Drosophila melanogaster: one gene and its partner. The protein of the gene in region 2 interacts with the protein of the main gene of each other region in a pairwise test. Each region holds a gene or a part of one and is shown on either strand. Other genes may lie near its edges.

The links.
Region 1: the proteins of CG14864 (region 2) and CG12470 interact in a two-hybrid assay, tested with the Drosophila melanogaster proteins (2 studies listed by BioGRID).

What each region holds. Positions count from the first base shown.
Region 1 is NC_004354.4:305,556-309,575, forward strand, and holds CG12470 (uncharacterized protein), read left to right. Parts: upstream 1-2,128; 5' UTR 2,129-2,337; intron 2,338-2,534; 5' UTR 2,535-2,652; coding exon 2,653-3,240; 3' UTR 3,241-3,380; downstream 3,381-4,020.
Region 2 is NT_033777.3:15,266,021-15,270,471, forward strand, and holds CG14864 (uncharacterized protein), read right to left. Parts: upstream 2,410-4,451; 5' UTR 2,353-2,409; coding exon 709-2,352; 3' UTR 664-708; downstream 1-663. Other genes in the region: ATPsynO (ATP synthase, oligomycin sensitivity conferring protein), read left to right, coding at 1-350, 413-568; Zip88E (Zinc/iron regulated transporter-related protein 88E), read left to right, coding at 2,743-2,991, 3,061-3,320, 3,384-3,585, 3,717-4,095, 4,165-4,175.

The DNA of each region.
Region 1 (4,020 bases), on a different chromosome or scaffold from region 2:
ATTCACAGAATTGGGGGAGTGTAGGCTTCCCAGGTAAAAGTGGTTACAGTATGTTTTGTCAGAGATTTTTCCCGTTGATATTCCCGCTTTTTATTTACACGTAGAGTAAAATTGTATTCTAGATTCGTTGTAGCATTTTAGACCCTATGACGTTTATATATACATACATACATATACATACCTTCCTCAGGATCACTAGCCCAGATCTGAGCATGTCCCTTTGTCCGTATGAAAGCAGTTTTTTAATTTAATTTAGTTTTTTGTATTGTCAATTTCTATCCAATTCAATTTCTAGCCAAACAAATTTTGCACCGCCCTAATTTGCCCATACTTATAAAACATAATTCTGAATTTTATTTATTGATTTATGTTATCATAATGGGTATTGGATAGTCGAGTTTCTTGTATATAACGTTCTCCCTTCCTTCTATTTGTTTTTTTTACTTGGCTTTTGACCCAATGCCTTGGACCTTGTTCTTATTTTTTGTTTGCCCTAGACTCGTTGGCGTCGACTTTTAGGTTGTTGCACTTTGGTACCACAGTTATCAAAATTTCGATTGCTCTATTTTATTGCTGTATTTTATTTTGACCGATACAACTGCAGGATAGCCCATGTGTAAACAATCAGCAAACCATTTGTTATATTCCTGCAGTGAATGAAGATTAATTTCAGTCATAAAAAAAGAAAGGGAAGGCTACCGGAGAGGTGCTAAATAACTCCGCTCTCTGAGATAAATTATGCGCAATTTCTCCTCTGCAAACTTATTCAGCACCTTAAAGCTTAAGTACTCCAAACTAAGCTTTCGCGGCTTAAAGCTAAAAATCTTTATTTTATGATAAAAAGCTCAATTTTATGAGCATGTACTTTTTTACGTTTTTAACATGCCGTTTTTTTTTTTAAGAAGGACTTGGACATCTGTATAAGGCAACATATCCATGTGAATTTACAAGGAGAAAACGATTCAGTCGATCTTGTCGGCTTACAGATACGTGTTACTACTCCGCTAGAGGAAGTGCGTTGGAGTTGGATATATGTAGATAACATATCGATAGATTTACAAAATTAAATTTTCAAATGTGTCGGCGTGGCAGTTTTGGGGGGTTTGGGGGCCTTAGAGTGGGCGTGGTAATATTTCAACAAACTTGCGCTGGTTCTGTCTCTAGAATATGTATGCTTAATATAAACCTTCCAGCTTTTATAATTCCTGAGATGTCGACGTTATACGGCCGGACAGACGGACAGTGCCAGATCGACTGGGCTATTGATACTGATCAAGAATATATAAACTTTATATGGTCGGAAACGCTTCTTTCTACTTGTTACATACATTTTCAACGAATCTAGTATACTCTTTTAGTCTGCAAGTAACGGGTATAAGAAGTATAATTTGAACTGTATAAAGGTTAAACTGTATGTAGGTTAAAGTACTTATGCGGTAAATGAATCTTATTTCTAGTACTTATCTAATCATCCCACATTAAAGCAACTGATTAAATAATACCATTGAAGATTGCACACATTTGTATATAGAGAGTGGGAGAGAGCGATATCTTCCTCCATATGGGTATCCTAAACCTGCCGACTCACGTTTGCCGGCATGACAGGTTGGGTTACCCCATTAGCTGAGAATTTCTTTTTGATGAAGCAATAATCGAAGGAGTGTTTTCTTTTGGATTCGTATTCGTTTGATACCGCTGTGAGCCATAAAATGTAACCCATTAGGTTAGTATGGTTGCGATTATAATGGTGGTGTCATCATCATTTAGCCAAAAACCTGAGATTTATTCCACTGGTCCATTCATAAAAGGCCATCATTTGAAGCTTAGATAATGTTTAATTAATAAATACGCGTTTTTCGTATTTCAATGGTACTTTTATCGTATCAGATATTTTTTTTAATATTTCCATATTTTTCTTCTTCCAGCAGATAAAGGAAAGTAGTAGATTTAGTTGTCCCTTAAGTTGTGATACAACGATAATTGAATAAAATAAGAACTGGCAATTATATATGCATTAAGCTGTTTACGAGCACCAAACGTAGCCTACTCTGGGTTGGTTTATTAAATAGAATGGCTTTCTTACTTTTTTTTAGATCACGTTGCTTTGCTGAAACTGTCAGTATTTGGACTTGGCTATCACCAGCCATATGGCAAAACATCAGAAGTAAAATTGTCTGTGAACACACAAAGCACACGAAAAAATCTCGGAAAAAAAACTGTACAAAATTTAACTTCGCTCTCGACCAGATTTACAAAATTTTTTTTTTGGCCAAACTTAAAATTAGGAATACAAGAGAACGGTGTGTGTACCAAAATCAAATCGTGTTTAGCTAGTTGGTGAGTCTTATTGGAAGCTCGGCATATTCCGAATATTACTGAAATTTTTTCCCCATTTCCGAATTGCATTTGGTTTCACATGACATACGCACACAATTGGAAGTCGTAATTCTATATGTGTGGGACAGTGTTTACTGAGTATTTGGTTGGGGTTAACTTAAGAATTAATATTTTTTTTTTTTAAATGCGTATTTCAGACGTCAGGATATATGCTACTTTGATTCGTTAACTATTTTCAAGTGATCGGAAGCAAACGCAGAGGCATTTCTAATTTGTGCGTTGCGCGACTTTCAGAGATCGTAGACTCGATTAACCATGGGTAAAAAGGGCAAAGGAAAGAAGGGCAAGAAGCCCGCCGCAGTTGTGGCTCCCATCGAAGCGCCACCATGTCCTCCGTGTCCGGAACCACCAAAGCAGATGCAACCACTTGACGCTTGTCCAGAGTCTAGCGGACCCCACGATGTCCTTCGGGCTCAACCGAATCATTACCCGGCTCTTCTTCGTATTCCGGAAACAATGGCGGTGGTGGGCTCTGAGAATGGATGCTACGATAGCATTTGCAAGCTCCTGAGAGCCGGATTCCGGTGTGCCGAGCGGGTTTTCGTGATGGCCCCTTGGGGCAACTACGTGGTTTTCCGGTATCACAACAATAATGACTTTATTTACTTCCTGTTTGATGGATGCACCTGCGATGTTAATAGGTTCCGCTATCTAGACCTCAGCTGCGGAACTGCTGGATTTCTTTTCTTCGATAATATGCACGACGTTATTAGTTATATTATCCAGTCTCGAAAGACGCGTCTATATCTGGAGAATCTAAACAAGATTGCCATTGATCAGATTGTGGAGGAGTATGGCGCTGTAACGTACACCCAAAAGGCAAAATGCATGCGATTCGCTTAAATAGGTCCCATATGATTTCTAACAAAAGAGGGCAACGCATACACAACGAGGATAATACTGGACGACAAGCTTTGCTCTAAACATTTAACATATTTTGGCACAATCTTTATCAATAAATAATAATCTCTTTGAAAGCAACTAAAACAAATTTGCATAGCTCTAATACCAATAGCGGTGATAGCGATATACCAAAGCGTTTATTTTGCATGTCGAAGTTAATCCTTTTGTAGAGTTTTGCTGGGAAAGTTGAGGTTAGCGTACGATCAAAAGAAGTTAAATAACAATAGTCGACATAAATTATTGCAATATTACTGTGGATAAAATACAAATCGTAAATATAATATCAAAAATTAGAGACTTACAGGGTGTGAGAATTTTGTCAATTAGAGTACAGATTCCAAGTCGATTAGCGTTCGATTAATTCCATTCATTTGAGTGGTATGGAAATTATGCATGTGCATCATTTTGCTAATATTCGGCTCAAAAGAATGAAGCGGAGGATTCCAGCTTAACGTGCACAACAAATCCCTCAAATTATTATTGCTTGCTACAAAATGAAAAAAGAAGAAACCCAATAGAAACAAGGTGAACCTTCCAAGTAAGGGGTCAATTTTTGGAGGCCCATGGATTGCGAAAACCGCAAAGCATTTGCAATAAAGTGCCAAACAAGCGCCGGCCACACGATATTTGAATATTTATAAAAGTAGTCGACTTGTTGATAGATTATGAGATGTTAAACTGAAAAATTTTATTTTTCAAACAGATTTTCAGTATTTGAAA
Region 2 (4,451 bases):
CGGCTGCCTCCAAGTTGAGCCAGTTGGATCAGGTGGAGAAGGATCTGACGGCCCTGCAGGCCACCATCCGTAGCGACAAGAAGCTGCGCGAGTACGTGACCAGCCCCATCATCAACAAGAAGGTCATGGCCACCGCTCTGAAGGAGGCATCCGAGAAGCTCCGCTTCGCCCCGGCCACCGTCAATCTGTTGGGTCTGCTGGCTGACAACGGACGTCTAAAGAAGCTGGACACCGTGATCAATGCCTACAAGACCATCATGGCCGCACATCGCGGTGAGGTCGTCTGCGAGGTGGTCACCGCCAAGCCCTTGGATGCGTCCCAGAGCAAGCAGCTGGAGGGTGCCCTTAAGGTAGCTACGCCTAGCTTCTGTCTTGTCTCACCCACTCAATTTATTGCTCATTTGCTTTGCAGTCTTTCCTGAAGGGCAACGAGTCTCTGAAGATCACTTCCCGCGTGGACCCCAGCATCATTGGTGGCCTGATCGTTTCCATTGGCGACAAGTACGTCGACATGAGCATTGCCACTAAGGTCAAGCTCTACACCGATGTCATCCAGACCGCTGCCTAGACTCTTAAGGATTTGCTCTTGATTTAGATGGTCAAACTGAAAGTTTGGTATTGGAATTCAAGCGGTAATAGCGAATAAAACACTCTTCACCCTTTGAAAACCAACAAAATTTATTCAGAGATATGCGCACTAGATTTGGTTTATGATTTAGATATATTTTTAGGATCCGGTATATCTGTGCACTGCAGCTCCGCAACCTTGTGCTGGATTGTCTGCTGCAGAAGGCTGTGCTGCTCCAGCAGATTCTCCAGCTCCTTGATGCGAGATCTCTGCAGTTCCAGAACCTTGGTGAAGTTACTCGTGGCCGGGGACTCAAGCCAGTTGATTAGAAAACTATTATGTTGCTCTTTATTATCGTTGGCGTTTTGTTGAGCATCAAAATTACTCTTCGTCTTGCTATCTAGTGTACTCGCATCCTGCCCTGGGTTGGGGCTGCAATCATTCAAAGGACTCTCCTCCAGGACCAGAACATTGGTCTCGTTCGAGGATCGACAAACTCTGTAATTGGGCTTGTCGATTTCCGGGAACACAGCTCGCTCATCATTTTCGGTCAGATCGGACTCTTGAACGCAAATCTCTGGAGGCGGCGCCATGGGACGTTGCTTCGCCGGAGAGCAGCACCCATCTTCATAGTCATTATTCCGGGTGCCGTTCATAAGCAGCACGTTGATTGCATTTGAAGTTCTTCTCTCGCCGCCGCCACAAGTAAAGTTATTCGAATTATTGGTGTATCCGCCAGATAAACCTGTCGCTGAGCTTCCAGTTTGATGGCTGAACGAGCCGGTCATCTTGGTTCGCCTAACAGGCGAAGAGCTCTGAGTCTGCAGCGTCACCGTTGAGCACTGCACTTCCTGATCCTTCAATTGCTGGGTGATGCACGTCTGGCAGCATTCGCTCTTCAGCTCCGGCTTTTTCTTCGTATTCTGCTGGTTCATCGAACTTTTAATTTTGTTGTTACCTCGTGAAGTTGGCGATACCGGGTAGTTCGGGCTACTGCGGAAATCATCTGCTACAGTTTTTATGTCCGTTGTCCTGAAAGCTGGACAAGTGAGACGTTCACAGGAACTCTGTTTTTTTGGGCTGCCTTTGGAATTATCCTTTCTTTCTTTATACTCTTTATTTATACTTTGTTGGCTGCCTGAATCCTCTTCTAGAGGGGCTACCGCTTTTTTGATCCCTTGCACTGGACAGAAACTACAGGTGCATCCATCACAGGTGCAGTTTACAGCTCCAAAGGTCGGTTTATTTACCCTTGGGCTTAATTTCATAGGTGGATTATTTTTGTTCTCTAAGTTTGTGGCCCTTGTTTGTGGATTGGGATACTTCTGTCCCATTTGGGTGTATGTATTGCCCTGGAACATGCTGTTGCAGGTGTTTCGAAAACGACAGCAACCATTCGTACATCTGTTCGCGCTGCTGAATTCCTGCCTCTCCGAGCCGAGACTCTGTTTGCTTTGGTTCTGGATCCGCTCGTTAGTCTTTTTGCTGATGGAATAGCCATGGCCAGCGTCCGATGCCGAAGAGCTCCACCTGCTCCATTCCTGCAGGCCAGCTTGAGTCCTTGCCCTGCCAGCAGCACGAGACGAGCTCTCCGATTCCGAACCTGATCCGTGGCCATCCAAATGGGAGGCGCAAACGCATCCGTGCCGGCATAGCGATTCGGGGTCGACGTCAAAACTGCTGAGGTTGGCCAAGTTCTGCCACCGGCGAGCCTCCGACATGTTGCGCGGGTAGACGCACTGCTCGCCCGGCTCCTGGCCACAGATTATACAACGACGATGCATTTTCCAACGGACAACCAGGACGGAAACGGTAAAATTTTGAATTTTAACTACAGGAGCATTTGTCGAAGTGCAAAACTATAATTGGAGAGGGTGCCTACCTTCTTTTATTGAAATTCTTAATGGTGGTGGTTGGTAAAAGAATAGTTCTAGATTTAAATGTTTAAATAAAATTAAAAAAAAAAAAAACCGTTTAAATGAGTGTGATCTGAAAGGCGCACTGCTGAAATGCCTTACTTTTCTGTGGCCCCCCCATTGTAAGGCGTTTTGGTATTTCGCACGAAAGCAGCTGCACACACTTCGCAACTGTTTAGTTTAAAAATAGTAAATGCAACGAACTTTTGTGTGTTTTACTGGCCCCCTTCTTGATGACACAGTCTGGCAGTTGATACAATGAGCTTGCCAACCGACGGTCTAAACATGGAGATCACCCCAAGCCCCACCCTGGCTGCCACGAGTCGCGGCGACTTGGAAAAAGTGCTGGCTATGCTGGTCCTCGGACTCGGGAGTCTTTTGTTCGGATTGCTGCCCGCCTTTATATCGGAACGGAATCGTCGCCGCTTCCCGCTGACCGCATCCCTGCTCCTGTGCTTCGGAGCGGGCATTCTGCTAGCCACCGCACTGGTGCACATTCTGCCCGAGGTAAGAGCTTGGACTGCGATCGTGTGTGTGGCTGCAATTTGATAACCTGCTGACTTACGCATGCAACAGGTGCGCGAACAAATGGACTCGAAATTCGCTGAGGTTGCCATGTGCGGCGGGTTCTTCATCATCTACTTTATCGACGAGTTCATACACTACTTCTTTGGCGAGGCCATTCAGCACACTCATGCCCACGATGCAGAGACTCCAGCAACCGAGCCACCAAGACGTCCCACTAATGACAATGGTTATGGCGCAGTGGACGAACGAGCGCCCCTTTTATCAGCGGAACCCAATACGTCACATGGGCATTCGCACCATCATAGCCAGTAGGTTTATTGCATTTCCCTTCCCGCAGCCAAAACTAATTGCTTTGTGCTTCGATTACGCAGCGATCATGACCACAATCACCCGGCCAGCGCATCTGGCTGTAATGATGCCAGTGTAGAGGACGCCAACGCCCGCATCTGCCACACCAGCCACACGGAACCCTGCGCCCAATCCATGACAGGCACTCTGGGTCTCTTTGTCGCCCTGTCACTGCACTCGGCCATCGAAGGACTCGCCATCGGCGTTCAGAACTCTTCCACAAAGGTCTGTGCCGCCTGCCTTGACATAGTTAGACTAGATCGGCTATAGTGCGCAATCTTAGGCAAATATTGAAGCAAAGAGATGCGAGGGCTTAGTCCAATTAGATAACCGGAATCTGCTTTGTCTCGTCGTAGGTTCTGTTTCTTCTAGGGGCCGTCGCCTGCCACAAGTTCGTGATGGGCTTTTGTCTGGGGCTCGAGTTCCGCTCGAATCCGCAGACGAGTTTTCGCGCCCAGTTCGTCGGCATTTCGGTGTTTGCCCTGGGCGCCGTCATTGGCATTGGCCTGGGCATGCTTATCGTGGACGTGCCCGCCGCTTGGTCCAGCAAAACTCTGCCTATCGTCCAAGCTCTGGCCGGAGGCACACTCTTCTACGTCACCGTCTGCGAGGTGATACCGCGCGAGAAGGCGCGCTGGCACTCGAACTCAACGCGACGCTGGGCGGGATTTGCACAGTTTGCAACTGTGCTCGCCGGCTTTGCGACCATGTGCATCATAAACTTTTATCTTTCTGGTGCGTAGCATTATGTGATTTGCATTTCCCTTTCGACATTGCTGACCTATTTTCTTCGCGCCTTTTCAGATGAGGATTAGACATCTTTTCGTTGAGAAATCGTTTCAGCGCTGTGAGAAAATGTGCCGCTTTTTAAACTTAGAACACTTAGGATAATATTATGGATTGGCAGCTGTTAATCTCTTGTGTAAGACTTGTTACTTGTGCATTTCCAACTAATCTTGTTTTAGGTACATTGTCGATCTGCCGTAGGATAAGTAAAAAGTTCAGTCTTCTCGTCTACATTTATATTTTCTCTTTCTCCAAAGTTTGTGTTATTTTTTATGCTTTTATTATATGTAATAAACCTTACAATT